Struthio camelus: one gene and its partners. The protein of the gene in region 4 interacts with the protein of the main gene of each other region in a pairwise test. Links are inferred from orthologs where the notes say so. Each region holds a gene or a part of one and is shown on either strand. Other genes may lie near its edges. The genes, in order: POLDIP2, PPL, CDC73 and ALAS1.

Region 1 (7,924 bases), on a different chromosome or scaffold from region 4:
TCACTGGCACAACAGCTCTGTTTTCAGATGACTTGGAAGATCTCCCCTGGTCAGCCCAGTATCCTATCTGGCATAGCTGTTTTCACTGCTCGCTCATTCTCTATCTGCTCACTGCTCAGTCTTTTCCAAGTCCAAACATACACTCGCCTGGCATACCTCCAACAAGGGCTAGAGAGAGGAACGGATGAGAGAAGTGAAGGAAGTAAACAAACAGGGACTCAATCCATCAGATGGATAAACTTAGCCTAGCAGGTTGAAAATGGGGAGGCAGCTGACAAATGCAACTCACTGGCAATCTATACAGGAAGCAGCTTGCAATTTTAACACAGGAGCCTAGTCCTACCTCAGGACAGCACAAAGTTTTGTTTTACTGAAAAAAAAAAAAATGTGGGGAGGCTTGGTTTTCATTTTCTAGACACACACACTCTTTCTTCATGCTTCCATCCTGTCTCTTGATTAAAAGAAAATTAATATTCATGCAATCGCTCGTTTGAGTACCTCTCTTCCAACTGATGTTCGTGTAAAACAGACTTGTACCATTGTCTTTCTTAAAAAGACTTGTTTTCCCTAACCAAGAAACTCGCAAAGAAACGTAAATACAGTAGTATGCTGCATACAAACAAGAACAAAACCTCACTTTTCTGTGACAGGAGAAGCAACATCTCGATCGTAAAGCCTGGCTTGCCAGGGAAACAGGACTATTCCTCGATAGCCAAACACACTGTGAAGAAACAGCTGAAAAGAACAAATAATTGCACTTTAATACATAGCAAGCTTCCGTCGACTTAGATACAATAGAAAACATGGAACCAAAAGCTCTTTTCTGACAATATCTAAAAAGAATTTTATAGAGGTAGAACTAGCAATGTTTACATGGAGCCTGGACACGTACGAAAGGGATAAAGGGAGAATCACCATTGTATAGCCATTGAGCAGAGACAAAGCCGGAACATAAGCAGCTTGGGATGGAAGAACAAATTCACGTCATCTCTATCCCATTAAAGTGATTGACTAAACCAGTTATAACATATTGGACATCAGAAGTGCAGAAAAGGAGACCAGGATAGTAGAGACCACCCAGAAAGGGAGAAACAGATATACGAGTCATGAGCATAGAAATTACAAGTTTACCTTCATTTCCCAAATTCAGCAATTGACTCCTTTGCTGCCAAAGGGAAACTATGCTTAAATAAAATCAGCAGAGCAAATACCATTGTATGAACAGTTGTGTCATGTTGCAGATTCTTATCAATTTCCTACTGTCAGATGACTGACAAACTGCAGACACAGCAGAGACAAGGAACGTTGAACTGTGAAACTCCTGGACTTCTGCTACTATGCAGCAGCCTTCTCGCAGATAAATCACGCAGCTATTCAACCTCTGTGGAAAAAGCCTGCAGGGTCAGCTCTGCTCCCCAAGACTGCTTACCTGGCCTGTCTCATATTTGCCGTGTTGCTTTGGTGCTTCAAACACCCCCACTGTCTCCAGCACTTTGCCCTCCGGACGGTTTCTAGGAGGAGAGAGTGGGTTTGCTGGGTGTGCACGCAGCTGCCCAGCTGATGCTGAGCCTGTCCCCTGGGGCCAGGAGAGCTGCGCGTGGCACAAAGCACCCTGAGTCCCCGCTGCTGGCTGGGTACAGCCCCCACCCTGTACCTCCCTCAGCCCCATGACAGCCCCAGCCTGCACCCATGAGGCTGCCCAGCCACCCGCTTCCGGGCCCTCCACACACCCCCAATGACCCCTTTGCCAATCCCCCCTACCCCAGTTGCCCTCAACATCCCCCTACACCCCCTGCCCAGCTACCCCTTCCCCCCAATCTCCCCTTTCCCACATACCTATCTCAGTCCCTCAACAGCCCCCCCAGTCTGCCTACCCCAAGTTGTCCTTGACAGCCCCCTGCCCCCCACCCTGTCCCAAATAACCCTGCCCCAAACACACCCTTCCCTCATCGCCCCGTAAGTGCCCCCCACCCTGCCCCAAACACCCCTGACAGCCCCACACACACCCTTCCCCCGTTGCCCCATAAGTGCCCCCTACCCCACATACCCGACAGCCCCCCACACACCCTTCCACCGTTGCTCCATAAGTGCCCCCCACCCCACATACCTGACAGCCCCCCACACACCCTTCCACCATTGCCCCCTAAGTGCCCCCCACCCCACATACCCTTCCCCCGTCGCCCCCTAAGTGCCCCCCACCCCACCCCAAACATCCCTGACAGCCCCACACACCCTTCCCCCGTCGCCCCCTAAGTGCCCCCCACCCCACCCCAAACATCCCTGACAGCCCCACACACCTTTCCACCGTCGCCCCCTAAGTGCCCCCCACCCCACCCCACACACCCCTGACAGCCCCACACACCCTTCCCCTGTCGCCCCCTAAGTGCCCCCCACCCCACCCCAAACATCCCTGACAGCCCCACACACCCTTCCCCTGTCGCCCCCTAAGTGCCCCCCACCCCACCCAAACACCCCTGACAGCCCCACACACCTTTCCACCGTCGCCCCCTAAGTGCCCCCCACCCCACCCCACACACCCCTGACAGCCCCACACACCCTTCCCCTGTCGCCCCCTAAGTGCCCCCCACCCCACCCCAAACATCCCTGACAGCCCCACACACCCTTCCCCTGTCGCCCCCTAAGTGCCCCCCACCCCACCCAAACACCCCTGACAGCCCCACACACCTTTCCCCCTGTCGCCCCCTAAGTGCCCCCCACCCCACCCCAAACACCCCTGACAGCCCCACACACCTTTCCCCCGTCGCCCCCTAAGTGCCCCCCACCCCGCCCCAAACAGCCCAGCAGCGCCACACCCCCCCGCCGCCCCCACAGGCCTCACCGCGACGAGAGGTGCCGCCGCGGCAGGAGCTGGACGGCCGCGGCGCCCCCCGCGCCGAGGGCCCGCGGCCCGCGGGCCGGGGGGGGCTCCCAGAGCGGCAGCCCGCGGGCCCGGCACCGGCTCAGCGCCGCCGCCACGTACCGCCGCGCCGCGCAGCCCGACATCCCGCCGGCCGGGCCCACCCCGCCGACAGCCCACAATGCACCGCGCGCGCGCCCCCACCCCCGCCGCCTGCTTCCCGGCGGCCCTCGCGGAGCGCGCTGCGCCGCTCTAGCCATCTGGCGGAGCCGCGCTCTGTGGTGCTCCGTGTCCCCTAGGCGACGGCGGCCGGCCAAGATGGCGTCGTCGGTGCGGGCCGGGCCGCGGCTGAGGCGGGCGGCGGCGGACGGCGAGCTGGATGGGCTCCCCGCCGGCCTGCGGGCCGAGCTGGAGGCGGCGCTGGGCTCCGACGGCGCCCTCGTGCCCTTCAGCCTGCTGCGGCGGCTGCACGGGGCGCTGCGGGAGGCAGGTAGGGCCGGGGGGCCGGGCTAGGCCGCGGCCGGCCCCGGCCCCCGTTAACCGCCGCCGCCTCCCGCAGGGTCCCCGCTGTATCTCCACGAGCTCCTGGAAGGCAGCGAGATCGCCCTGCCCGAGGTGCCGGTGCCGCCGCGGGTAGGTGAGGGCCGGAGCGGGCCCGGCGGCAGCCCCAGCCCCAGCTCCGACCCTCACGGCAGCTCTCTCCTCCCCCAGAACCCCGAGCTGGTGGCCCGGCTGGAGCGCATCAAGGCCCGGCTGGCCAACGAGGAGTACCGGCGGATGACCCGCAATGTCACCGGCCAGGTGAGTGCTGCGGCTGGCACTCGGGATGCGCTCCCCAGCTGCTCTGCCACCCCCAAAAGGCAGGCTGCAAAAACCCATCTATTAAAAAAACCACATGAACCCACCCAGGCTGCCAAATCAGTGTTATCCCCAAACCAGCTGAAGCTGACTTGAAGGACAGGAGAGGCTGGATGACCTTTTGATCTCTACTTTAAGTTCTAATTATCTGAGGCTCCTGGAGTTATGCCGTGTGTATGTGGGCATCCTCTGGTATCCGTTCAGGAATCATTCCTTAAAAGCATAACAGGTGGCAATGTGACAGACAGTAAAGGAAATTTTCCCAGTAGAATGAATAAAATAGAGGGGGGATGTGAGCAGGGATTAGAAATCATCCCTTTTCAGTGTCACAGACTGACCACAAGCACAAATCCAGAGGAAACCCAGGCTTTATGAAACCGCTTCTCAGCTACAGCATGTCTCACCACTGCTAGAGCCCCACAGAAGCCGGCTATGTTTCTGAATGAGTTGTTCAGACAGGATATTATATCGGAATCACTTCTGTTATTAAAATATAATACAACACAAGTTGTTTTAATCCTTTATTTTAGGAGCTGAACCGGTACGGGACATTGGCCGACTTTGGGAGGCAAGGTGAGTGACTGCCTCTCCTGCTGACACCAGGCAGTGTGTACCTACAGGCAGAAAAATCAGTCTTGGGAACTGTCACATCACTAGTTGTGTGTATGTTGTTGACATACAACAGCCGTCCCTGCTCCAAGCTGCAGTATCTCACTGGATGGCTTTAATGCACGAAAGCATTCCTTGAGTAAAGGAGCAGCCCACGTGTAGTTCTTACTGGTATTTCGGGAGGCATAAAGCATGTGAATTCAGGAGTATTCTTGTAGCCAAACTGAGGCAGCCACTGGCAGATTCAGTTAGCAGGATTATAGCTTGTCCCAAACTCTTCTCTCTGAGGCTACTTAACAAGCAGCTTCTAGCCTTTCCTAAAAATCACCATCTTTCCCCCTTCTCTCCAGTTCGATCTGTTAAAGCTGTGGTCATCACCATATTCAACTTCATTGTCACCGTGGCAGCCGCGTTTGCCTGCACGTACCTGGGCAGCCAGTACATCTTTGCCGAGACGGCTGCGGTGAGTGAGCGTGTCGTAGAGGCCAGACCGGAGCAGCAGACGCACTCCCTGGCACCAGGCAGCAGCCTGAGCACATGCGTGGGGTCACTTAACTCTCTCTCTTTGTGTCCCCAGCGCATCCTGTCAGCAGTAATTGTGGCCTCAGTGGTTGGCTTGGCCGAGTTGTATGTGATGGTGCGGACCCTCGAAGGGGACCTCGGGAAACTATGACTGTGCGTTTCCCTGCGAACTGCGACCCTCATGCTGGAGGCTTTTGCCCTCCCCAGGAGCCATTTATTTTGGGCAGGTTTGTCTTTGGGCTACCAAATGTTTGTACCTGCTCCTGTTACCAGGAAAACTGCTGCATTCCTCAGGCCTCATCCTTTGCTTGCCTGCTCCTCACCTTCCTGAAATGAATCATGGATTAAAGATCTTGTGGCAGCAGAACAGAAGAACCAACAGCAGTGGACTCATACTATGCCAGTATAGAGAGGAGTGTCAGCGACTGCTGTTACAGTTCTTTTCTGAAGTTGCTGTCTTTTTTTTTTTTGGAATAAATATGTTGTGTTTATGTTTGCAATCTTCTTCCTGCCTGACAGAAGAGTTCTGTTGCTATGCAGCCCACTGGCCTGGCATCTAAAAGACACCACAGAGAGCTGTGAATCTTTCTCCCTCTTTATCCTGTTCCATCTCCAGCAGAAATCAATGCCCTCAGGTGGCCTGTTCTTACTGCTCCTACCTGGCCCCTTGCCCGCTTTAGGGAGAGCGTTACTCACTTGTGACCAGCATGGCAGTTACATGACCCATCTCATATTTGGTGGCAAGTACACTTCCCCTCCGCGCAGACCTGTTCAGGAGAACAACAGTGTCTAATGCAGCAGCACTGCAGGCGCATTGGGGTTTCAGCCTCGTCTCCAGCGGCTCAGCAGACAGACGTACCCTTTGTGTAGCTTACACTGTGTTCCTGTTCAGGGAGAAGTCGCGCTGGGAGCTGCCGCCTCTCTTGATCCATGGTCCTGTGACTGTCAGTGCCAAAAAGAAAGTTGGGTCCCGGAGGAGGAGCCCCCGTCATAGCAGCCTGCCAGAGCAGCACCGTGGAGTGCGGCAGGGCGCCCGCCAGCAGAGCCGGCAGCTTGCCTTCCCTGCGCTGGCAAGCTGCTTCCCCTCAGCCACGGGACTGGGGCAGAAACTTGGGCTGCCATGGAGAAGTGCTCGCCCTTTTCTGTTGCCATCCAGCACCGGTGTCCCATGGGGGGCCGAGTACCTGCTCTGTGCTGAGCTGGCTCGGGAAAACCCTCCTCGCCCACATAGGCCCCAGCTGGTCTCTCCCTGCCAGCAAGCGGAAGCTGGGGTTTGTCCCTCAACTCAGAGGCCGAGGGACCCCAAGGGCTTTGCCAGAGCATTCAGGGGTCCCAGATGGGTCAAAGCAAGGCCCCAGACCTGACTGCAAGGTGCAGCTCCGTTCCAAGGCTGTCCCTGCCACCAGCAATCACTTAAACCTAGCGGGAAGAGTGGCTCAGTGCAGAGCTTCCTGGGTGCCTTGGAGCAGAGAGTTGAACCAGCTCAGTGCACTAGTGGCCCTGCAGTGGGGAGAGGGGCCAGTGGCACTGCCCACCCTGGGCACTGTGGGCTAGGACACCTGCTGAGCAGGCAACGTGCCAGAGCTGGACACAGTGATTAATGTTCTGATGGCAGCTAAACCCCTCTGCAAACATGCTTTAATATCCGATACGGGGAGATCGGCCCAGCACCTGCGAACGTGCCTGCGGATTAGGGGCGGCTGCGCCACAATCATCCGCGGATACTGCCTCAGATTAAGGTATTTTTCTGAAAGATTAGTTGGTATTAGGGGGCTGATGGGGAGCCGGCCCCGCCACAGCCTCACCGGCATTTAGGATATTGGATGGCATCGCAGGGACCTGAAGGAGCCGGCAGTAATTCCACGTCCTAATGACAATCGCGGCGCTAAGCCGGGCAGGGCCGGGGGCCCGGGGGGGGCCCTGCTCGGGCTACGGCTCGCCCAGGTTGGTGATGGCCGCGCTGTAGATGAGGTCGGAGATGGAGCCCAGCGAGGTGGGGAGGCCCCAGGCGGGGCCCTGGGCTCCCGGCTCCGGCAGCACGGGGGCCGGGGCTGGCGCGGTGCCGTCGGGGGGCGCCGCGGCCGGACCCCTCTCCCCGGGCGGCGGCAGCGGCGGCGGCGGCGGCTCCGGTTTGGCGCTGCGGATCCGGCGGGCGCGGCGGTTCTGGAACCAGACCTGGGCCGGGCGGGGGGCGGCCGTGAGACCCCGGCACCGGCCCGACGGGGCGGCCCGGGACGGAGGCGGGTCCCGGCGGCCCGGGACGGACGGAGGGAGGGAGGGAGGGGTCCCCCGGCCCCGCTCACCTGGATCTTGGCCTCGGGCAGCTGGGTGAGCTCGGCCAGGCGCTCCCGGGTGGCGATGTCCGGGTAGGGCACGGCGGCGAAGGCCCGCTCCAGCTCCGACAGCTGCCCCCGGCTGAACGTGGTCCGCCGCCGCTTCCGGGGCCCCCCCGGGCCGGGCCCGGGGCCGCCGCTCCCCGCCGCCCGCCCGCTGCCGCCGCCCGGCCCGCCCGCCCCGTCGGGGAAGCGGAGCAGCGGCCGGGGGACGCGGCAGGCACCCGGGGCCGCGCTCATCCTGCCCTACTCCCCCAGCCCCGCCGCCGCCCCGGCTTTTATTCCCCCCCTCCCCGGCGCCTCCCCCCGACGGGCTGGGACCGCCCCGAGCAGGCGGCGCTGGCCGGGGCCCCCCGCACCCGCGGCGGCGGGATCCGACCCCCCCCCAGCCCCCCGGCGGCTCCCGGGGCCGATCCCCGGGGTCAGCGCTCCCCGTGCAGCACCGCCCGATGCCTCCCGGGGCCAGTCCCCCCCCCCCTCCCCGACGGCTCCTGGAACCAGTAACCCCACCGGCTCCCAGTACTGGTCACCCCAATGGCTCCCCATCGGGGAGCTGCTTCCCTCCCACCGGTCCCCCCAAAGCTCCGGGGTCCGTCCCCACCCATCGCTGTCCCCGGGTCTCAGCACCACAGTGCCCCATCGGAGCCCCGAGGTGGCCCTGCAGCACTGGGGCCGGTGGGGCTCCAGGAGCCCGGGAGGGGGGTCAGGGCAAAGCCTGGCACCGGCGGGGCAGGGGCCCTGCAAG
Region 2 (7,604 bases), on a different chromosome or scaffold from region 4:
GGGTTGCTTGAAGCCCATAAACTTCAAGGTGCTTTGGTTTGGAGCCTTAAGGGCTAGTTTTGGGTTGGTGACTGGTGGCTGTCTGCATTCGGAGCCAGAAGGACGGAGAACGTTGTTCCTGGGCAGATTACAGAGCCTGGCTTGAGCTGCAGAGATTCATCTTCAGATCCTGACAGCCCTGCTCTGATCTCTGGCGCTAATCATCATGGCAGCTGCCCGAGCACAGACGGCAAGATGCCCGCGCTGCAACAGGAATTTGTCCCACGGCTGCCGACTGAAGGAGCCACCGAGATCGAGTCGTACAGTCGTCCGTGTCAGAGCGCTAACTGCCCTAGGAAGGTACTTCCTAGGCAACCCCTAACTGAATCAGCTGAGATCACAGGCCTGGCTCCTTATTACCTGCAGGAAATGTTCCAGCGTGATTGATCGCTTGCCAAACCGGTGCTCAGTTATGTGCTCTGTCACTACTATGCTTTGAACGCTCAGTCACCAGGGGCACCCTGGCACTCAGCCCTGAGCTAACACGCAACCCTACAACCTACCTTTCCCCAGCTGAAAAAGCCTCTCCGAAGAGCCGGCTGAGGCTGGGCTGGCCGCTGTGTCCAAGCCTCTGTTCCTGTTTACAGCACGGGGCTGTTGATTTTAGCAGGGTTGCTCTGTCTTTGTAGCAGCATAACTGGGCGGGAGCTGGCTCCGACTCCAGCAGCGCCTTGAGCGCGGGACGGGGCGGCAGGAGCTCCTCAACTCGCAATCTGCCCCCGGCTTCTCCAGCAAGTCGTTTAACCGGTCTGGCTCTGGCTTCCCCCTCTCGACTGCAGGGACGTCTCCACAGAGCGGGAGCGTTCCCTGCATTCGCAGATGTTTGTAAACTCCAGCACAGGAATTAACAAATTGGGCGTAATAAGCGCAGCCCTGCCCTAGGTGTGCGTGGACACACTTGGAGGCACAGACACGGCTCTCCGTGCTGCGGGGAGGGAGGGTGGCCCGAGGCCACATCGCGCGTCGCTTCCTGAGCCTGCACAATCCAGCCACAAAGAATAAGATTTCATCCTGGCCTACAGGTCTGCGGCCGTCAGAGGTGCGTTGACGTCCCTCTGAGGCGGTGCCCCGAGCGTGCTGGGCTTGCTGGCAGGGCGCTGGAGGGAAGGCCATCTTCCCGAGCCCCAGGTGCCCGTGCACGAAGGCCCGTCTCCTGCTGCCTCCCGGGCTCCGGGTGCTGCTCAGAGTCCTGAGATGTCAAGCCAGGTGTGGCATTTCTTGTGTTCAAGCCCTACTCCGACACCAGTGGAGATTAGAAACAGAACCTGGTTTTCACATCTTCGTTTGAGGCTGCAATCGCTCCTTCAGCCCTCGACGCTGGTGACGGGGCCTTCGGGGAGGCGCGTGCTTGTGCCTCAGATGGCACAAACTCCTCTCCCTCCACCAGCCCTTGCTGGGGTGGGAGCCGGCGCCAGAGCGTGCCGCGGGGCTTGGGGAGGGGGTGCAAGCGGCTGTTTCGACGGCCCTGCTGAGCCGGTCGGGCTGCAGAGGCTGCCTGGGGATCCCATCCCCGCTTCCGGAGCCGGAGCTCTTTGGTCCTCAGTACTGAGAGAGGGAGCTCAGCAGGTGCCAAGACCGACCTGAGTCCCCCCACGCTCAGGGTCTCCCCCTTTCAGGGGACCCCCATGCCAAAAGCGACAGCATGGGACCTGCAGGCAGCCCTAGTTTTGCCTGCAGGGAGGAAGCAGCGCGGCACTTTCCCCAGCTCCCCCACTGCCCTCCGCTGAGTCAGGACAGCTCCCTGACGTCTCGCCGCCAGCACTGCGACTACAGGATAGTCGAGCCAAAAAAGCCCAGAACTGAGCGGATTAATTCCCAGGTGGGGTGAGAGGCAGCTCCGGGAGCTGCTGAAGGCAGACCTGCGCACCTCGGCTGTCTGAGCTCCCCGCCTCGGAAGGGGTCAGCACCCTCTGGGCCGCCCGGGGCCCCCTTCCTGGGTCCCTGAACGCAGCCTCAGCCCCCGCGCCCGTTCTTGAGTTTCCCTTCCCAAAGGACGATTTTTGGGGAGCGCAGCGCAGCGCTGCAGCGCCCAGCCCGCAGGCTGGGGCAGGTGTCTCCCCGTCACCCCCATCCCAGCGGCAGACGGGCAGCGCTGCCAGAAGCGCAGCAGGGAAAGAGGAAATGCCGAACGGCCGGAGAGCCGTTTGCGCAGCAGTACAAAGCCACCGGCTCACATCCACACCTGGAGAGACGGAGGCAGGAGGGCTCCTTCCCTTCCTCGCATTACTCACTAGTGGCTCCCGGAGTGTATACACTCCAGAGCCTCTCCAGGCCTTTCCAGAAATGCTAGACTTCCTCCCGAATTGATCAGAACATTCAACTTCTGTTGCAAAAATGACCCCTCTGTCCCTGACATGCACCCAGGGGTTGGGGACTGGCCGCCCTCCAGTTTCCTTCTCTCCTACAATGAATCATTCAGCCTGGAGAGAGGCCGTGCCTTTTCTATTGGGAACTTTTACATCTTTTCCATTTTAACAGCATTCTTGCAAGGGGTATGTGTAACCCCGCGCGTGTTCTTGCACCAGCACAACTTAAAATCCATTTCCACCCCAACAGAAAGGGCGTCGAGAGAAGAGGAAACACTGACTATTCGGTTCTAACGAAACCAAAGCTCAAGGCAACGAGCGCTGAAGCTGCGAAGGCTCGAAGACCGACTCTGGCCTCCGCCGAGGAGGGCACGGCAGCGGCTCGGCAGCCCTGCCGCTCTCGGGGACCCCGCCGAGCGCGGTGCGCGGCGGCGGTGCGGAGCGGTGCGGAGCGGTGCGCGGCGGGGCCGAGCGCTGCGCCGCGCTCCGGGCGGCCCCCGACGGGGCGGCGGGCGCTCACTCACCTCTTCTTCTGCACCGAGGGGCTGTACTTCCCTTTGTTGCGCTTCCTGAAGAGCGAGTGCATCGCGGCGGCCGGCTCCTTCCCCCCGCTGCCGCCGGGAGCCTCTCTGCGCCGGGAGCCGGCGGGGCCGGGCCGGGCCGGGCCGGGCCGGGCCGGGCCGGGGGAGGCGGGGACGGGGCTGCGGCTGCCGCTGGCCCGGCCCCGGGGTGGTGCCTGCGCGGCCGCGGCAGGTGCCAGCGGCGCGGGCGCGGCCCCCCCGGCACCGCCGCGCCGCCTCCAGCCCCTTCCTCCTGCGGGGCGGCCCGGCTTCGGGGCTCGCCGACTTGGCGGGCAGTTTTGTCAGAGCCAGATATTTCCCTTTTTTTTTTTCCTCGGCTCTTCCGATCGGGGTAGAGACGTGTCGAAGTTGTCCCGGCTCCCCGGAAGAGCACAGGCTTAAAGATTCAGGAAAGGGCAGTGTTGGACTAGCTGTAAAAAAAAAATCACCGCTGGAAAGGCAGGGCAGATTCCCCAAAGAGAAGTGCTCCGAGAGTCACCAAATCCTTGGGAATCAGCCCTGCCCAGGCAGTCCTGCTGTGGGCCAGGGGTGCGTTCGGGGTGCTCTCCCCTCCGGGGTGCTCCCGCGCAGTGCCGGGTGCCTGCTCGGGGCAGACGGGCCCTGCTCCTGGTTCCTGTGCCGAGGGGGCCGAGGGCTGCGGCGGCAAGGAGAGCTGGCTGCCAGGCAGCGGGGCTGCAGGGCTCGCCTGCTCCTCTGCCGGCCTCTCCGCACTGCGCGGTTTTGCCCCAGCGCCTCTGCCTATGTCCTGGTCTCGGGAGGGACCAGAGCGGACTTGGGGCGGCAGCTTGGCCGACGAGCTCGGAGAGGGCCCCAGGCTGTCCGGTGCCCCGGTCAGGGCTGGCGTGTGTCCCTTTGCCCCGGCCGGCAGCCCAGCTCCAGCAGCCGCCAGCACCCTGTGCGGCGGGCGCCACGCCAGGGCTGTGCCACCCCCGGCTGCGCTGCAGCAGGGGCTCGGGCTGCATCCGCTCAGCGGCTCCCGCCGGCTCTCGCACAGGGGCCCAAGGCAGCCTGGCTTTGGCCTTCCAGCCGCAGAAAACAGTCCGCTGGGAAGCGACTCTTCCAAATCCTATCGCAAAACTGCCAGGAGGTTGCTCCCCCAACCCGGAGCCCTTCCCGGCTTCGGGGCCGGTCCTCAGGGCACAGACGGGCAGTGGGGAAGGGAGAGAGCTGGCTCCCTCCCGCCTGCCGCAGCCTAAGAGGTTTTGCTCACCCATCCCCGTGTGCACAGCACTGAGCAATTAGGAGCAGCTCTGGCCTTTTTATCCAGGGATTTTGTGCCCATCTGGGATTAAACAACTGAATACATGATTGTCGCTACCTCACCAGCCCCAAATCCTCTGCTGATTTTCATTCTCGGGGCAAGTCAGTGCAGGCTGTGACCTATTGCTCCTGATCCCCGGCTTGGGTCGGATTGCCACCTCTTTCGGCAGCATTTGCTCCACGCGGCGTGCAGAGCCCCGAGCCCTGCGCTCGCTGTCGCTGCGCGGAGAACCGTTCCTGCACGGATCCAGCTGCGTCCGCACGATGCTGGGGGGCAGCAGGTCCTAGCGCTTCGAGCACGCGGCAAGTATGTGCAAGTGTGTGTGTGTGTGTGTGCGCGCGCGCGCGTGGACTTCTTCCACCTCCGCTCCTTGGGCTGTAACCTTGGGCGAAGAAGCGAGGTGCGCAATCCATGTAATCCTGGCTGCTTTTTAGAGGCAGCATCCGAGAACCTCCTGAGTTTTCGCAGTTCTCCCACATCTGAGGCAATTTCTGCAAAATGCTCTGATTCGAGCAACGCCGCCTTCGCCGGCGAGGGCTGCTTCGCAGAGCCGCGCTGCCTGGCGGCGGCACCGAGCCCCTCGCAGGGCCGTGGCTGCGGCAGCTCGGCGGACCGGGGCCCTCGGCAGCCAGAGCAGGGGCTCGCGGGACGGTCGGTGGCACCTCCGGCCGCTCTCTCCGGCTCCGCCAGCCCTTTCCCAGCCAGAGCGGAGCCGCCCCCTGGCCTGGCGCGGTCCTCGCTGGAGGACGGCGGCGGGGACGGTGCTGTAATGACCGACTCTAGCGGGGCAAAGGATGCTTGGTTACCGAGTGACGTGTTCTGCGCTTCGAAGGTGATGGCAGTTGATTTGTTTGAGGCTCCAAAGCTTTTAAGAGAGCCCTGTGCTTTCTCTGGAGAGCGCTGGCGTGGCGTTGCCCTTTGGCTCTCCTATTGATTAATCGCTGGAAATCAGCTTGGCTGTGAGCCCCAGCCGGTGGCGGCGGCGGCGAGGCAGGACCCGGGAGCCAGGAGGGAGGGGGCTGCGTGCAGCCTGCGGCCCCCAAAAGGCGCCTTGTGCGGCTGCATCGCCGCAGCCTGGCGCTTTGGAGGGTCCCTGCGGGCTCCAGCGGAGAAGTCACCCCCCTGCAAGGGAGCGAGACCTGCCCGAAAGAGAGCCGGCCGCCGGGCTGCTGGGGGAGAGGAGCCCTCCGCCCCTGGCTCCCGCCTGCCCCTGCCGCCTCCCGAGCGCCGGCCCGGCTTTGCTCGCCTCTGCCGGGCGCCGATGCCGTTCCCACGTGCTCGTGGCTGACTCAGGTCCGCTCCGCGGCATCCATCCTGCTCCGCGCTGCCTGCCAGCGTGGGGCCTACTAGCCCCCACTAGCGAGAGACCCTCTTCATTAGGCAGCAGGCTGCGGCGGCAGCAGCGGAGGGGGATGCGTGTCCCCGTCGCTCCCCGACCTCGGGGAGAGCCGCACCGGCAGGCGTGGGACGAGCAGGGCCGGATCGGCCCCGACCGCCCGAGCCGCGCAGGGGAAAACTGATCCCGGAGGCAGAGGAGCCGGCGGGAGCCGGCGGGCAGCGGGCTGGCACCAGCCTGGAGCGAGGACGCCGGGCCGAGCAGAGCAGGGCGTCCGGCTGGGCCCGCGCAGCGAACCTCCGAAACGCTCGCTCCTCGCCGGCTTGCACCCCTGCCGCCGGCCGCAGCGCTAGCGCGCGGAGAAGGGCGAATGTATTACTACCCTCCGGACGACTAACGCGCTGCGTTTTCATAGCCTCTTCCAACCCTGCGTCTTAAAGTCTCTGAGAAGCAGAGATATATTTAGCGCTCTCCCAGATGCCCGAGCCTGCGTCTCCGTTGCTAGGTCAAACGGCGAACGCCGTTCTGGCTGGCACGCTAAGCGCGCCCCGGCGGAGGGCCGGTTTTTTCCGCTGGGCGAGGAGGCGGCGGGGCCGTGCTGAGCGGCGCGGCGGCTCGGGGGCTCTGGCTGGCGGCGCCAGCAGGGCACCCTGCCCATGCACGGCCCCGAGGCCTGGCCGCCCAGGGCCTCTGTGGAGCCCTGCTGGCAGTCGCTGTGATGAGTGGTGTGGGGTCTCTGCAGGCAAGAGCCCCAGGAGAGCCTGGCTGCCGGCGGCGCCCTGTTTCCCCGCCGGCAGAGCCGGGTGCCCTCTTGCACTGTGGCCGGGGCAATACCGTCCCCCAGGAGCAGTGTCTTGCCTGCCCAGGGCAGCGTGCGTTGGCTTGTGGCCCAAGCCGAGGGGGAGGAGCAGGCAGAAGTCATGCTCCGCGTCCTTCCATTTAACCAGATGATATTTTGCCTAGCTTTATTTGCTCTAGAAAACACTCTCAGGTTTTGGCACTTTGATACCCCCCGGTACGTCGTGGCAGCGCGTCGCCCCGGACCGGCCGGCCTGCCGGGAAAAGGCAGCTCCTCGTCCCGCTCCGCAGAGCTCCTGAGCCAGCCCGGAAGGTGAACAGAGCGCTGACGTACCGAGGAAATGTCCCTGTCTATCGCTTCTTCTTCTTTTTTTTTTGTGTGCATCTTTTCCTCTTTTATTCCCCTCCGGCGTGACCTCTGCGGCGCTAATCCCCCTAATCTCCCCTCATCTCCGGCGCGGTTCATTTGCGCGCGCGAGTGCCCTTGAGAGCCGCCGAGCCGAAACGGCTCGGGGAAGCCCGGCAGGCAGCGAGAAACCCCGTCGGGGTGGAAGCCTGTCCGGTGCAAACCGCCCGGGCATTTTGCCTCTATCCTGCCTTTGGGCTAAGGCACCGTGTGAGCCCAGCTCGCCGGCTGCTCTTTGGGCAAGAGCTTTAATCCCACCCGATTTCGGAGCTGTGACGAGCGCTGCCGTGCTGCTGCCCTCCTGCACTAGCCAAACCAGAGCCTAAAATCAGGCTTAAAATGATTTTGAGGGGCGTCCCGAGCTTTGCTGTCCCTTGTACTCGGGCAGGAATCATGGCTGCTTCCGGCACCTTGCCCCGAGTCCCTCCAAAAGAGGCACTTCTCCATGGGCGCCGCGGCCGGGACGCGGCGAGGCCGGCACAGGGCCCCGTGTCCGGTTGCCGCCAGCTCCCGGGTGTCTGCCAATTCGGAAGAGGCAATACTGGCGAGGAGAGAAATGAGAGCTGATGTCAAATCTGGGATACGGCGAAACGGAGAAGCTGTGCAAAAGCTCCGGAAAGGTTTCGGGCCTCTGTGCTCACTGGGGTTTTGATGCAATTAAAAACACAGAAGAATTTAAAAATCCCCTAATGTTTCTTGGGCTTCAGGAAGCAGAAACGCCCTGCCAGCGATGGCCCGGGGCGGCGAGCGCCGCGTCCCGCCGGGGCTCGGGGGTCCCGCGGGCGCCTCTGCGGCCCCTCTCCCGTGGGCGCAGCCAAGCAGCCAGCCAGCGCCTTTTGCAGAGCGCAGTCCTTGCAGGCAGGCAGCAGCGCGCCAG
Region 3 (7,176 bases), on a different chromosome or scaffold from region 4:
ATATACGTTCACATCAAAATAAAAATCACTTCCCACCTGTCTGCCAAGAAAGTCAGACTCTCGACCTCAGCAGTGGAGCTGCACTTGGCCCGAGGCCCAAGAGTAGCTGCTCCAATGGAATGCAAGTGCAGTGAGGCACAACATCAAACATTTGCAGAACTACATAGAAAATAAAGTGACCAACTCCTCCTGCTCCTTAAGGCCTCAGTAAAAAGCACAATCTGTTCTTCAAGGCTAGCTCAATGATCAGAACTGTCTCAACTGCAAGCAGAATACCTGGAGTCAGTTAAAACTTAGCAGTATCCAAGTTTCAGGAATCCTGTAGTTTTTCCTCTTACAGGAGCAAAGAAACAGAGGAGAGTTAGCATTAACAATCTCTGACTAACAATCAACTGACTTCAGAGTGAGCAGAAGTATTGTGGGGACTGTGCCCTACCCTAAACCTACTCTTGCTCTCTGATCACAGACTTCTTACAGACTGTAGAGGGTGTATCTCCTTGAAGTATTAGTACAGCTTTTCCTATCTGTAAGGCAAACGGAACGTGCTAGTGATAAGCAGACTGGCAAAAAAAGGTATGAGTAGGAGGAAAGAGAGACTCCTATTTACTGCATGTTTATCCAAGATTTATCCATTTTGCGCTCTCAGTATCAGTTCATACTTGAAATCAGTAATTTTACAAGGTTGAATCCCTGATACTGATGACAGTACTGAATTTAACTAGAACACTGGAAAAACATAAAAAAGATCCAACCTAGGAAGATCAGATTCCAGGGCTGGGGATAAAAAAAAATGCAGCTAGTATTTACTAATAAACATACAGATCCAATTCAGTATGCAGAACTATTTACAGCATATCTTTGTATAATATAAGAAAAAACCTGAAAGTAACTATCACTTTTGCAAACATTGAAAAGGAAGAGAAGTCTCGTAAATAACGTTACCTGTATTTGATTCACAGCAGCATCATTAGATAACCTTACAGAAGCAGGCAGCCTATTTCCCATTCTAAGACTAAAAAGAAAGAAAAAAGTCAGATACTTAAGCTTTCAAATAAACGACATATTACTACACTTCACAAACTCTTTTAAGGATTGGTTTCACTCAACCCATACAAGGGTTGGTTCCGTTTAAAATACCTAACAGGATCTCTCCCTTGCACATAAATTCTTTCAGCTGCAATGCCGGCAGTCTCCTTTGCTCTCACACGCCTGCAGTACGGTCCAAATAAAGAGCCCGATTTTGCAGAGTTTAACCCAAACGGCTGTCTTTACAAGAGGCTGATTTTCTATATATATGTATATACATATACATACACATATACACATGTAATTTTTCTCCCTAATGACAACGTGTAAATACAAGCACCAACATAAGGCTCTGGGCACCCTCCTACAGGGGCTGCCCCTAGGGCCGTACGCCCCGAGGCCACCGCGATGTCCCCTCCCCGGTCCCAGCCGGCCCGGCCCGACCCGACCCGACCCGGCCCTCCCCTCGAGAAGAAGCCCCAGGCCCCGAGAAGGCCCCCGCGCGGGCGGGGAGCCGCCAGCCCCACCACACCGACCCGCGCCACCGCCACAGCACCGCCGCCGCCCCGCGCAGCGCCCTCTGCAGGGCCATGGCGCCCGGGAGGAAGGGGCGGGGCTTCCCCACAGTCCTCACCGCGGTCCGGCGCGCCTTAGGCCCCCGCCCCTCCTGCCGCCGGGGCGCGGGGCTGTCCGCGGCGCTGCCGGTGCCCGGGAGCGCCCGCCGCCCGGCCGGTGGAGGGGGGAGGAGGGGAGGCGTGCGCTCGCTGCGCAGGCGCAGGCGCAGGCGCAGGCGCAGGCGTTAGCGGGCGGCGCGGCCGTTGCCAGGGGGACGCGGCGCAGGCTGCGGCGCCTCAGGCCGGGAAGCTGCTGAGGCGGCCGTGGGGGGGAGAGGAGGGCCGGCGCGGGGGGACAGGCGTACTTTCGAGAGCAGCGGGGAGAGGGATGTGGCGGCAGGGAAGGGAAGGGGGAGAAGTGCCGGTCCTGAGGGACGCGGCTCCGAGAGACTTCTCGGAGGGAAAAGAGGCGCCGGGGCCTGAGGCGCTTTGTCGTAGCCAAGGCAGGGTGAAGGCGAGGAAGGCGGCTCCCTCAGTTCTGTTTAGGGCATGATAGTTGCACACTGTTCTTGAGGGGAGAAATGCTCTGGAATTGTGGTGTAGGCTTTCACACCAGGTTAATTAAGCTTTGAAACGTTCCCGTGAGAGGGATAGTGTTTAGTGAAGCTGCGGAGAGGTTGAGTGATTTTCCTGAAGGCCCAGAAGTAACTTTTACCACACGGAATGAAGTGAGAGCCTTGTCTGCTTTTCTTTGTGGCTAACAGTGCTAGGAATTTGGGGGTGCCTTTGCTATATCAACTAAAACTCCCTTCAAATCTTCACTGTTAGCATTTCTGTTCCCTTTTTTCTTGTAATACTTTTTCTACTCTGCAGCTATTTAATACACATGAATATATCATTATATACTTTTTGTATGCACTGTAAAAATGCCTCTGTCAACATACATGCCTTTATTGGCGCTCACAAATAAGAAACTGAAAAACAGGACAATTTATTCAGAAGAGATTGAGAAGAGAAGTAGGTCTAGAAAAGCTGGAAACTTTTAATTGTTCCAAGGCTTTGAATAGAGGTTTTCTAGCCTTATCTCCTCTTATGAAACCAGTAAGTCCTCAAGTATCTAATGCCATGTGAAAATAGTTGTTTATTTGACATCTCTTATCAGTTCCTGTTTCAGTGATACAGTGGTCAACAGTCCCATTATGATCTCCAAAGCAAACTGTGGGAATTTATTTTGCTAATTCCCCTTTAAGTTTGCATTGAAGGTATCCTTAAATGAAAGAAATGAAACAGAATGACAACATTTTCCTGAAACATGAAAATAAATTTCAGACACTCTTGGCAATTGATTATGTACAGCGTCGCTGCAGTGTACTGAACAACAGATGACAGCATGGCTGAAATTGATGTTTTCAGCGTTGCTGTACCATAACAACTTTGTGTCTTGATAAATAAAGTATTACATGTCTAGAAAGTGCATCAGGTGCATTTTTTCTGAGCTAACACAGTTTTAGGTGATGCTATGGGCGTTTTTGGATAAGACATAGAAAAGGATTTTGGACCATTTGAAAACATTTCAAATTCCATTATATTTTTTCATAACTAGTAGCTCTGGTAGTCATTCTGAATCCCATGTGAGAAACTATATTGTTTATTCTTCAGGCTTTTTTGTCTCCTAAATAAACGAATACTATGCTATACCAGTTACAATTGAACATTAGAAGTAATGGTAATTGTATCAATTAACTCTAATGCTCACTTTTTGACTAGTGTAGCATAAAGTTCATTTTGTGACTAGAAAATATATTTGTGTGTTAAATTATTTTGATACAATACGTGAATTGTTATAAAATACTTGCACTATATTCACTTGTACTGTGCTGCTGTGACAAGAACGGTGGTATCACTAACATCTCAGCACAGGAAATTATATAAAACGTCGACTTTTAGTCTATTTTGACAATCCTAATGCATGCTACTTACAAGAAGAAGAATGATGCAAGTTAGCTTTTTTCATATGTAATATCGGATAACATTTTCTGCTAATATTGAAAAGCGTTCAGAAAATTCTGAGCATCAAAGATTAGAATAAGCATGCGAGAGATCTTTCTTCAGGCCTGTATTTCCAGTGCTGGTATTCCGGAGGGTTTGCCAGGTATCTATTTTGCAGGCTCTCCCGAGGAGACGGCAGAAAGCCCCTTCTCGCCTTTCCTGAACCGGTCGCTCTGCTGTCGGAGCCGCAGGGACCTAACGTCACTACGACGAGCAGCCGGGTGGCGGGAAGGGGGGCCGCACAGCGGCTGCTGCGCCACGGCAGCTCACCTGGCTGAAGCACCTCGCACCGAACCGGCTGCTCCCCAACTTCTGTTTTCAGTCCGACCGTCACTGCTGCCGCCCGCACCGGCCTGAACGGCACACGGCCGACACGGCTGACCGCTGGAAACAACCCCTCCACGGGCGCTCAGCCCCCTGAGGGCCGCCCCGCCCCGCCCCGCTCCCGTAAGGGCGGGCCGGCTGGCCCAGGGCGCCCCCTGGAGGCGGTGGCGGCGGCGCTCAGGCGTTCGCCGCGGCCAGCCCGGGCCCTGGCGGCTGGCGGCGGGGTCCTCGCGCGGCTGGCAGTGGGGCCGGGCCGCGGCGGAGCAGCAGCAGGAGCAGCGGCGGCGGCCGGCGGCGGCGGCGGCGCGGGGCGAAGATGGCGGACGTGCTGAGCGTGCTGCGGCAGTACAACACGCAGAAGAAGGAGATTGTGGTGAAGGGCGACGAGGTGATCTTCGGCGAGTTCTCCTGGCCCAAGAACGTCAAGACCAACTATGTCATCTGGGGGTGAGCGCCGGGGCGGCCCGGCCGTCGCCGGGAGGGGCCGGGCCGGGCCGGGCCGGCGGGGAGGAGAAGTTGCCCGAAGTTGGAGGAGCCGGGAGCGGCGCGGGGGGGTGGCGGCCTCGCTGCGGCCTCCCGGCAGGGCCCCGCGGCCCTGCCCGCCCCGCCGGGGGTCTCCGGGCTCGCTCCCTTCGCGGAGGGGTGCGTGGGGCCGCCCGGGAGCCCGCTCTGGCCGGGCGGTCTCGCCGCTGCCTTGGGCAAGGTGCCCGGGGCCCTGCTTGGCGACCTGCGAACCGACGCCCCCCGGGCACGGTGGGGGCCTGTCCCTGGCTCTCCCGCTGTCCCTGCGGCCCGGCGGGGCTGGAAGGTCCCAGCGGTGCCGGGACTTGCAGGCTCTCCTGAGGAGATGAGAGAAAGCTGCTTCTGGAAGTTTGTTTTCTTTTTGTTGGGTTGCTGAAGGTTATGTCTTTACCCCACTAGCTTCACTGGCTGGTTTCTCTTTTCACGAGGCTTGTCGCGTAAAGCCAGCGAGGGCTAAAGCACTCCTCCCTCTGCGGCCACCTGGGAGCTCTGTCAAACCGTGCGGGCGCTTTGTGCTCCTCGCTCAGCCTGCTTCTAGCAGAGGCCTTTTCCTGGGCTTGTCCTAATGCAGTCTGCTTCCTAGCTGTTCTTACTATAATAAACAAATGCTTCTCTTGTTTCAGTGGTAGAATTAGATAAAAGTCTTATTTTTTTAAAGTATTTAAGATTAGTTTTTTTACTTGTTGAGTTTTAGAGTTTCCTATGTATTGTTTACAATGCAAGAGAGTTCTCTTCTTCATTCTCCTTTCCCCTGTATTTAGAAGCCACCAAAGCTTTCTAACTAGAAGGATTTCAGTGAGTCTGTTCTAAACCGAAAGGAAAAGTAATGCCTTTCATTAAATATTACATCTGTTAAAGAGATTACATTATCCTGTGAAGCTTAGAAAAACAGAAGAAGATGTAGATTTTTCAAAACACTCGCAGTTCAGTCTGCGGCCTGGGATTTTTTTTTTTTTCTAAGCTTTCATAATTATGCTAAGACTCTTAGTATTGATTTAATATCCTGAATTTTATTGGGTGGGGAAGAAACCTACCCGTTTGTGTTAATTTTCTAGAAAAATTTTTGCATTTATTTTACTGATTTTATATTGCATGCAGTTTAAAACTATAAATGTGCAGTTTTATTACCTATTTCAAGTTTTCAGAAACTCATTTGAGATATATTTGCGCATCCTGGCTGAGTGAGGGGTGCTGGTATCTAGACTGAAGAGGAAGAAAAGTCTTTGCATAAGTAGATAGGTTTTAAAATTCTTGAAAAGTCTTAAATCTATTTTGTTAAGCAAGTATATTGACAGCTATCATATTTTCTTGCTTGAAGTTTTTCTGCTAAGCAGTAACAAGTAACAGCTAGCTAGACAGGCAAGTTTTGTTGGTACCCTGTAAAAAACAGAGAAACCGATATGCCAACTGAATTTTGCTGCCACCTATGAGAGTTTGAATTAGGCCTGGGCCCAATTAGGCCCGGAATCTTTAACAGAGGACAGAAGACAAAACCTGGAGGGGAAAAAAAAATCTTAATGTTTACCATGAATGTAAAACTGCCTTGAGGAGGGTTTGTGGGTGAGAGGAGAATGCACTGAGGAGAATGGAAGCAGTAGCATTATAATAGTTGTCTATGCCATCATCTGTAGTGATAGATCCATTATAGATTTGTTTTGGATTAAGTTAGCAAATCTTGGCCTAGGCCAGTAGCTTCTGAGCTTTCATGTAGGATCGTTACCAATTTTGTAGGATTGTTACCAATTTGCAGCACTTCTTGTGAACCACCATGCAACTATATCTGTCTAATCTTTAAATTGAAGACATTGCAAAAGTGAGACCAGTTCTGTAAGCCGCGCTCAGTAGCTTTGGGACCGCAGTTTAGGTGCCATTAATTTATGTAATTGCCATGCTTGTGCAGGAACATAGGAGGAACACCTTTAAAAAGCTTTTAAGATTCAAAACCTTTTCTATGCTGGTCACTCGACAGGATCTGAACTATGCTTGCAGTGAGCACTTGTTAACAGCTTCAGCTTTCGTGAAGCAAGGATGATTTCAGTCTTAGGTGTCTACAACATGGTTGCTGTATTTGCATCTCTACTAACAGCCTGGAGAGAGTAATCCAAGTCTGAATAGCAGTGGAGGCATTCTGTCCCTTCTGGAATTAGAAGTAGTTCCCCTAGATATTTAACACTGTTGCTCCTTGAGCAGTGAGGCTGGCAGAAGCCTGCACGGCTGCCAGAAGAGCTGTATTGCCCTGCACGGTCTTCTCACTGTGCTAGCACAAGTGTCAGCCACACAGTGAATCGGTCTGAGGAACTGAGCCAGGTTAAAATTAACCTAGAAAAAGAACCCAAAAATTTATTTTAATCCAGGTTAGTTCCTAGATTTAGTTCACAAAAAATAATTTTATGAACTCCTTTGCTGGTACAAGGAGAAGGCTAGACGGACCAAGATTAGATGTTTTCTTTGTTTTGATCTAGTGGTTGATCTGTAGCCGCTGAAGAAGGATTGTTTGTTTAGTTTTAAAACCAAAGAAAGAAAATCGGTCCAGCAAAGAAACTTACTTGCTTTGTTTACACAGTAGAGGGGTTTGTATGCGTAGAAGTTTTTAAATAGTAAGCAGCTGGTCATGGCTGTTGTAATTTGTATGATAGTCTGCATGTCTAGTCTTGTATTTTTGAAGATTACTGTTTCCCTTCATGGATGAGAGGTAGGCCTT
Region 4 (6,945 bases):
GTGTCTTTGTGGTAAACATGGGATGCAGTTTGAGGTCTCACCTGGCAGCATTTTAGCTAGAGTGAAGAGGGTGGAGTCATTGGCTACAAAGCAAGATGAGAACAATAGAGCTGCATCTTTTCCATGAAGATCAGCTAGTTCTTTTTCCAAATCAACATGAAATTTACTTGTTCCTGAAATATTTCTTGTGCCTCCTGCTCCAGCACCATGTTGTTTCAGTGTATCCCTACAGAGTGCCCAAAGAGAGGCATTAGTGTTACTGAGCAACACAAAGATGAATATAGGATTATTGCTGAAAACATTCTACACAATCTCTATCGTTCTAAAAAGAGCTGGCTGTGAAAAGCAGCTGTTATTTTAAGGTCTTTGAGCAACTTGCACACCTCAGGGATTCAATAGGCTAATGAATAAGGTATCAAGTACAGCTGCAATATACAATCCAGTTTATCTGCTAATATTTGGGGGCTGCTGAGGAAGCTCAAGGAGCAGGGTCAGCGACTGACAGGTTATGTTGCAGCCCTGGAGGAAGGGGGGGAAAACCACCACCTATCAAGGCTTAAGAGAAGTATAAGCTTTAAGGCTTCATTATATGAAAGAGTAATGCCAAAGTAGTTATGAAGTACAGTAGAAGTATAAATTCCAGGGAGGACTTTCTATAAAAGCTTCTATAGACCACCGTAGCTTGTAACTGCATCTTAAGAGCACAGTACTACTCACACAACTGCTCCACACACACGAGGGTGACGGCTCATCCCCAGGTAATCATTGCTGCACCACACAGACACCTCCTTTTTGGTGATAAGAGAATCAGAATAGTCATCTGCCATGGGAAAGATTTGTGCCTTTCTGTTTACTGTTTTGAATATTCGATAAGTATGATCCTTCTTCTTTTCATCTATCTTCTTCTCAAAGAACTGATCATACTGGAAGGTGGCCACAGCTGAAATAAGACAGACTTAAGTACATAGGAGTTAATCACAAGCAGACAGGCTACAGGGGTTTTGCCAGCTAAGCTTACATTTTGGCAAGTTATCCTGAAGCAGATGAGAGACACTTTCTGGTCTTTGCTTGAGCACAATATCCTGAAACTTCTTGAGCAAGCCACTCTGCTCTGTTCCCTCAGTTTGAGGGCTCCTCACTGTGGAGTTAGCTGGTGTTTTGGCAAATTCTGTACCTACAGACATGGCAAAGAATTGCAGTGAGCTTAATCCTTTTGAAACAAAATGAAAAGGTAAGTTATGAGTTCAGCAAGGCAGATATTTTAAGTTACTCTAACCCTTTGTTCTTTAAGGGCCTGCAGTTGAATCCATGGGGCATCCTGTTGGCATCGGCTCTTATTGGCTTATAACTTTGCCCTGTATGAGACAACAGGGGAAAAACTAGTTTGCTAATCAATGACAAGACAATGCAATGTCCTTGCACCACACTTGGCTTATCTTGACTAGCAAACCTACTCTATAAGGGTGCAGCTCCCATCTGAAAGAGCTGGTACATAGCTAACTGAAGTCAGGAGTTCTGGTTAGCAGCTTCTGTTTAACTCCCAGCATTTTGTTCAGTTGGTAGAGTTTTCCCCCAAGCCACAGAGAAAACCAGAGAAGTAAAACAAGCTTCCTTTCTGAGAAAGGCAAAAGTTTTACTGATATGGCTGAAAAGCATCTTTCGACAAAACTTTGTCAGAAGCTTGCTGCTTTGAAGGACAGCCCTTCTGCACCAAGCCAGCCAACACCCTTCTGTCATGTCAAACAAATGAAAAAGGTTGCTTGCTTGCTTGCCAGCTTGGATTTGTGCTGCTATTTACATAGTACCCTGTCCTGACTTCCTTCTTCTCTGGATATACCACCTTGTCTATACCAGCACTTTGGTAAAGCTCACTTGAGTCCTAAACATCTACTTTGGGTACAAGTGCTACAGCTTGGTTCACAGCCCTAAAAGCAGGGTGCTATTCCCACATCAGAATCACCCTGGGCAATCATTGCAGAATACAGCTGATACACCATTAACACCCAGTGTCTGCTACAACAGCTTGTCATCTCCCATGGTCCTACTGACACAATTTAAGTGGTGTCAGTTAAGACCTGGCATGTGCTAGAGTGGAGTCAGGCACCAAAGGCAAACGCTTCAGAGCCCAAAATACCTACCTTTCCTCTCGGGCTGCATTTCCTGCACATCCTCCTGGAGTTCTAGGCTGGCTTTGCAGAAGACATTACTGTTCCCGTGATTCATCTGAGCTGCCAGGAAGGGGCACTTGGTAGCAGAGCTCGGGGGGCCGGCGGCAGCAGGCGGCGGGTGGCCGGCGGGCGGCCGGCATCCCTCGGCGCTCTGCTCAGCGGCGTCTTTGGCACTTTTGGCCTCTGAGGTGGGAGGAAGGGGAGGGGAGAGAGGCTTCAGTTTCATCGTTTCGGCGCGGTTACTGGAGCTTTTCTACCTAAGCCCTTAGCGCCGGACTTGGCAGGAGCCGACCGGGGCCGCTTAACCGAGCGTTTGCGTCTTATTTCGCGGAAGGAGGAAATTCCAGCGCCTGATTCAGCCGCTCGTCCGGCACCGCGGCGCAGGAAGGGGGAAACGCGTCCTTCCCCCCCCCCCCACCCCGGGGCGGGGAGCTCAGCGCCCCCCCCCCCCCCCGCACTCACCGCGGCGGGCGGCCGGGGTCTCCTCAGCGCGCTGCCGGCACCCGGCCGAGCTGCCGAGGGCGCGGGCCGGCGCCGCCTCCATCATGCGCGGGCAGTGCTGGGCGTAGAGCAGCAGCGAGGGCCCGGCCTTCTGCAGGAAGGCCTGCGGCACCCGGGCCAGGAACGGGCAGCGCCGCACCACCGCCTCCATCGTGTCGCTGTCGCCGCCTCACCGCCCTGTCGTGACAGGCACCCGCCTCGCCGCTGCGAGTGCCGCCGCTCCCTATATAGGCCGGGCGAGCAGGGCGCATGCGCGTTGCGGCTGCCACCGCCGCCCCCATGGGCGCAGGCGCGGGAGGGGCGGGGCGCGGCCGGCCGCCCGCCCCCGGCCTGGTGTGGCGCGGGGCGGGGCGGGGCCGCGCGCCTTTTCCAGAAGGGTCGGAGGGCGGCGGGGCTGGGGCTGGCGCCGTGCCCGAGGGCGGTGCCGGTGCCCGGCGCCCGGCGAAGGGAACAGCGTTCTCGTGAGACGGGCGGCGGGGAGTAGCGCTGAACCCTGCGGCCCCTGGCCCGCGACAGGCGTTAGCGCCTCTCTGCTCGTCCGCTTGGGAGGGAGGGTGGTTTTTATTTTCGTGGTGTTCCGTGGGGTTGTTTTCGTGCTAGCCGGGGCTCTCCTCGTAGCCAGCCCGGCGGCACCAAGCGTCGGCAGCGCTCTGCGAGCTGCCGCTACCCCCCGAGCGCCGAAAGGGCCAGGGGAGGGAAGGTGACGGGTTTTTTTCTTCCTCTTCTTGTAAAACACTGATTTCGGGCTCGCGCAGAGTACCGCCTCGCTCATCCTCACCCCACCCCTTCCCCCAGGCAAAAGCCACCTTTTGGCTGGTTTATAAGATAGCTGTACTTTTTTTATTGAGTAACAAGTGTGGGGTTTAGGAGGAGCGCTCTTTCGAAAGTTCCCTCTCGACTGACACCTCGCGTCTCACCGAGCGGTCGAGGTGCTGGGAGGCACTCGTACGGTCGCGGCTGGGGAAGAGCAGAGCCTGTCTAGACCTGTGGCTGCTGAGCTCCTGAGTTTGGCTGCGCAAGGCGCTAGGAAGGTATCGGTCAATGTTTACACGTTACGAATTAATCCGTAATTGCCTGATCCCGCCTCTGTCACCGCGTTTGAAGATGCTGGTGGCAGCACGTGAAGTTGGCGGCCTGGATAAGCAGACCCCGAGGAGGTCGAGCTTTTCAAACCCCCCGTTAAACAGCAGAGTCGCTGTCAGCTTCCGCGTGCCGTTCAGCTCCCGCTTAGGGAACCGGACAGCGTTCTGGCCTCGCTTGTTCCTCGTGGAGCCCTAATAACAGTCAAATGGGGCTTTACACGGTAGAGGCATGGGATATTTGGGTTTTAATAGGGCTAGAGAGTGTTTTAAGCACAGTTTGCTTGCTTATTAGAAATTTAGCACGGCGTTGACTTGTGAGTCTTAATATTCAAAGCTTAAACAATTCGACTCGTTATTTCAGCAACATAGTGCAGAAGTTACCATTAACGTACACAGCTTTTTTTTTTTAAGTGGATATCATTAAACTGCATGTGTGCCAGTTTTATTTTGTTCTGTAAATAAATGATTAAGCTGAGGGTACGGTATTCGATCCAAGCCCGTACAGCGGTTGCGATAACAACAGTCTTGGGCGCTTGGCAATACCAGGACGGTGCTTCAAGTTCTTAGCTGAGTTTGTTCACGAAGAGAGCTCGTTCTTCATAGCTGGCTTTCAGTTAGTGCTACACGCGGCAAGTACTTATGTTTTGCAAAACATAATAGTGAATAAGCTATTAAAAAAAAGTTTAAAGATGCCTGATGTGTGTTTGGATGACTGCTCTCCCTTCCCACATCGAACATCTGACTCTCTACCCTCAAGCTGTTGCCCACATCAGTTATTTTTAAAAATGAGGAAACAGACTACTAAATTCTGCTGTGCAGATATCTGGTGAATATCATCAGAGCAGAGTTAGGTTCCTGAACCTAAGGGATCATTGCGGTGTTCTTTGGATTAATTTCAGTTTTAACACCAGAAACTGAGTCCTGTATGCCTGATTTATAGTGTGTTGATGGCATCTTTCCTTCTCCCCTTCTTCTTGTATTCTGTGACCATGCTACTTAATTCAAGAGGGGCGGAAGGAATACTTCATGAACAACAGCCCGCCCTAGAGAAAGGGGTTTGACAAGTACGTTGGCCGAGTAGCGCAACAGACTGTAAAGCTTGTCTGTATGGACACCTGCCGCAGCAGGTTCAAGCCCGCAGAAATCTGATAATGCTTCGTTATCCTAATCTTAGTAGCAGCATCTTATTATATTGCAAGGTTGGGGGATGAAGTGCGTTAGCCTGCTCTGTTGCTGGAATACAGAAACTTATGCTTTTAGAATTAGAAGTGCCCATGTCAAGTCTGGTCAGTAAATGAGCCTGAAGAGCATCAGCTTGTTACCCAAACATGACTCAAGGTTGGAAGCTGAGACAAAGTGACCTTGGCTAAGATGGTGAGATCTCCAAACGGTGCCGAACCCTGAGCTCTCCTGTCAAACTTGCTTAGGCTCTGTGGTGTTAATCAGACCCCATCATAACACTGTTTTCGAGCTTGTTTCTGGTGAATTTATTTAACCTTGTACATGACAGAAGTTGTGCAGAGCTAAATAGCAATGAAATGACATAAACTTGACCCTTATCTTGGGGAGCTGCCAAAGGAGAATGTCACCGTCAGTGCACAGAGATGGTTGTGAGCTCTAGGTCCAATAAAGTGCTGAAAAAATAGTGGTAAAATTAGGGGGAAAGGGTGTCTTCTCTACTGCTCTGCCAGTTCACTCACTTTGGGAGTTTTAGGTAGTGAAGATGAAGTAAATGCTAATAAAGCTATCGTTAATTAAAGTTTCTTAGGGCTTTAGTGGATCAATTAAATGGTATTTAAAGATTTTAATTGTGGGGCTGTATTACCCTCATCCTCCAAGGCTCAGGAGAAACTAGCTGGAGTGCCATGCAAAAGCTGGTTGCCGCACTCCAGGAAGAGGATTTCAGACAGAGACGCATGGGATGGTACCGTAGTAGCCAAGCGGGGAACAGGAAGCTCATCCCAAGAGGGAAAACTAGGCATACGCAGCCTGTCAGGAGGCCACTGGTGGGCATGGGAGAAACGGGTTCGCTGCCTGTGAATACATAAAAGGTGGAGTAGCATGTACCAAAGAAGGAAAAACGGTTTAGGCTGCGGGGATGACCTCGATGTGAGACCAAACGCTTACTCAGCTGGCCGTGAAGAAGTGTAGGTTGGAATTTGGGTGGTTCCTGGCTGTAACTGTTTTGGAACAGCCTTCTGGTAAGAGCCACTGAGACTATGAATACCAGCTGGCTTTTTGCAAGGGAAGCTCTATCTGCCTGAAAGGCTCATGGGATGTAGTGGTAGGGGCTCAGTTACCCAGAGCGTCTCTGCTGATTTTTTTTTTTTTTTGTTTTCTAAAGCCCATTCTGTTCTGATGATTTGTCCATTTGTTTGCTAAATGAGTTGCAAGAGGAGAAAAAAGGTTAAATTCCAGCAATCTGGGAGGTGGATGAGAAGCAGTAGAAAGTGGTTCCCAGATAGAAGTCTAAAGGGAAGGAAAAAAAAACAAAAAAAACCCTGCCACAAGGTCAAGTTGATTTCTGCAGATGTCCATGAAAAGTTGCTGCTAAAGATGGTCTCTTTCTATGTGATTGGTTTACTATACAGGCTGAGCTGGGAATTGCCATGAAAATAATTCCCTTCTGTCCCTCTCCTCTCTAACAAGTTTTCCTAATATTCCTAGAAACAGAACTTGACCAGCAATTTGTAACTTTAATCCAGTCTCACATCTGTCAGCAATTAGTTCCTCTGTTTGAATTTGAATTGGATTTTTTGATCTGTAGAGAAGCCTTTAGATTCTTCAGGAGAAAAGCAAGAGTAAAGCCCCTCTGCACCCAGGTTATCCAAAGGAAAACGTGTAACTGTACCATTAGCAAAGCTTAATCCCTCTTGCCCGCTTCCCAAATCAGAGGCTGCACGCATTTCTCATTTTTCCCACCCATTCAGTGTCACAAAAGGGCAAGACAGAAAAACAGTCCTCCTCGCCGCCCCCCCCCCATCTCTTCCTATATTGAGATCAGAGTTTTCCAAAGGAGTGGATGTGATCCTGACATCTGGATTTAATCCAGACTCAAATTCCAGGCTTGGGTCTAAGAATTTCCACTTCCAGTGCTGAGACTAGCAGTTCTTAGAGAGCTGTTTACCTTTTAAGGCAAAATTCAAGGGTTGTAAGAGTAGTAGCATAGTGAAAATTCCTCCCATGTTGCATTT

Evidence for each region.
Region 1: the proteins of ALAS1 (region 4) and POLDIP2 interact in binary tests that used the Homo sapiens proteins (3 or more experiments, as listed by UniProt). The two-hybrid records come from large-scale screens. The link is inferred for Struthio camelus from reciprocal best matches to the Homo sapiens genes ALAS1 and POLDIP2.
Region 2: the proteins of ALAS1 (region 4) and PPL interact in binary tests that used the Homo sapiens proteins (3 or more experiments, as listed by UniProt). The two-hybrid records come from large-scale screens. The link is inferred for Struthio camelus from reciprocal best matches to the Homo sapiens genes ALAS1 and PPL.
Region 3: the proteins of ALAS1 (region 4) and CDC73 interact in a two-hybrid assay, tested with the Homo sapiens proteins (3 studies listed by BioGRID and IntAct). The two-hybrid records come from large-scale screens. The link is inferred for Struthio camelus from reciprocal best matches to the Homo sapiens genes ALAS1 and CDC73.

The regions. Positions count from the first base shown.
Region 1 is NC_090957.1:16,405,114-16,413,037, forward strand, and holds the start of POLDIP2 (polymerase delta-interacting protein 2), read right to left. Parts: upstream 3,004-7,924; coding exon 2,840-3,003; intron 1,512-2,839; coding exon 1,430-1,511; intron 736-1,429; coding exon 638-735; intron 1-637. Other genes in the region: TMEM199 (transmembrane protein 199), read left to right, coding at 3,176-3,347, 3,417-3,490, 3,569-3,658, 4,246-4,288, 4,675-4,787, 4,902-4,997; homeobox protein SEBOX, read right to left, coding at 6,776-7,021, 7,150-7,419. UniProt on the Homo sapiens protein: Involved in DNA damage tolerance by regulating translesion synthesis (TLS) of templates carrying DNA damage lesions such as 8oxoG and abasic sites.
Region 2 is NC_090956.1:17,375,234-17,382,837, reverse strand, and holds the start of PPL (periplakin), read right to left. Parts: upstream 3,012-7,604; 5' UTR 2,932-3,011; coding exon 2,870-2,931; intron 1-2,869. UniProt on the Homo sapiens protein: Component of the cornified envelope of keratinocytes. May link the cornified envelope to desmosomes and intermediate filaments. May act as a localization signal in PKB/AKT-mediated signaling.
Region 3 is NC_090949.1:10,422,304-10,429,479, forward strand, and holds the start of CDC73 (parafibromin), read left to right. Parts: upstream 1-4,170; 5' UTR 4,171-4,269; coding exon 4,270-4,400; intron 4,401-7,176. Other genes in the region: GLRX2 (glutaredoxin 2), read right to left, coding at 943-1,012, 1,563-1,618.
Region 4 is NC_090955.1:22,844,022-22,850,966, reverse strand, and holds the start of ALAS1 (5-aminolevulinate synthase, non-specific, mitochondrial), read right to left. Parts: upstream 3,002-6,945; 5' UTR 2,821-3,001; coding exon 2,631-2,820; intron 2,352-2,630; coding exon 2,139-2,351; intron 1,175-2,138; coding exon 1,019-1,174; intron 941-1,018; coding exon 718-940; intron 227-717; coding exon 42-226; intron 1-41.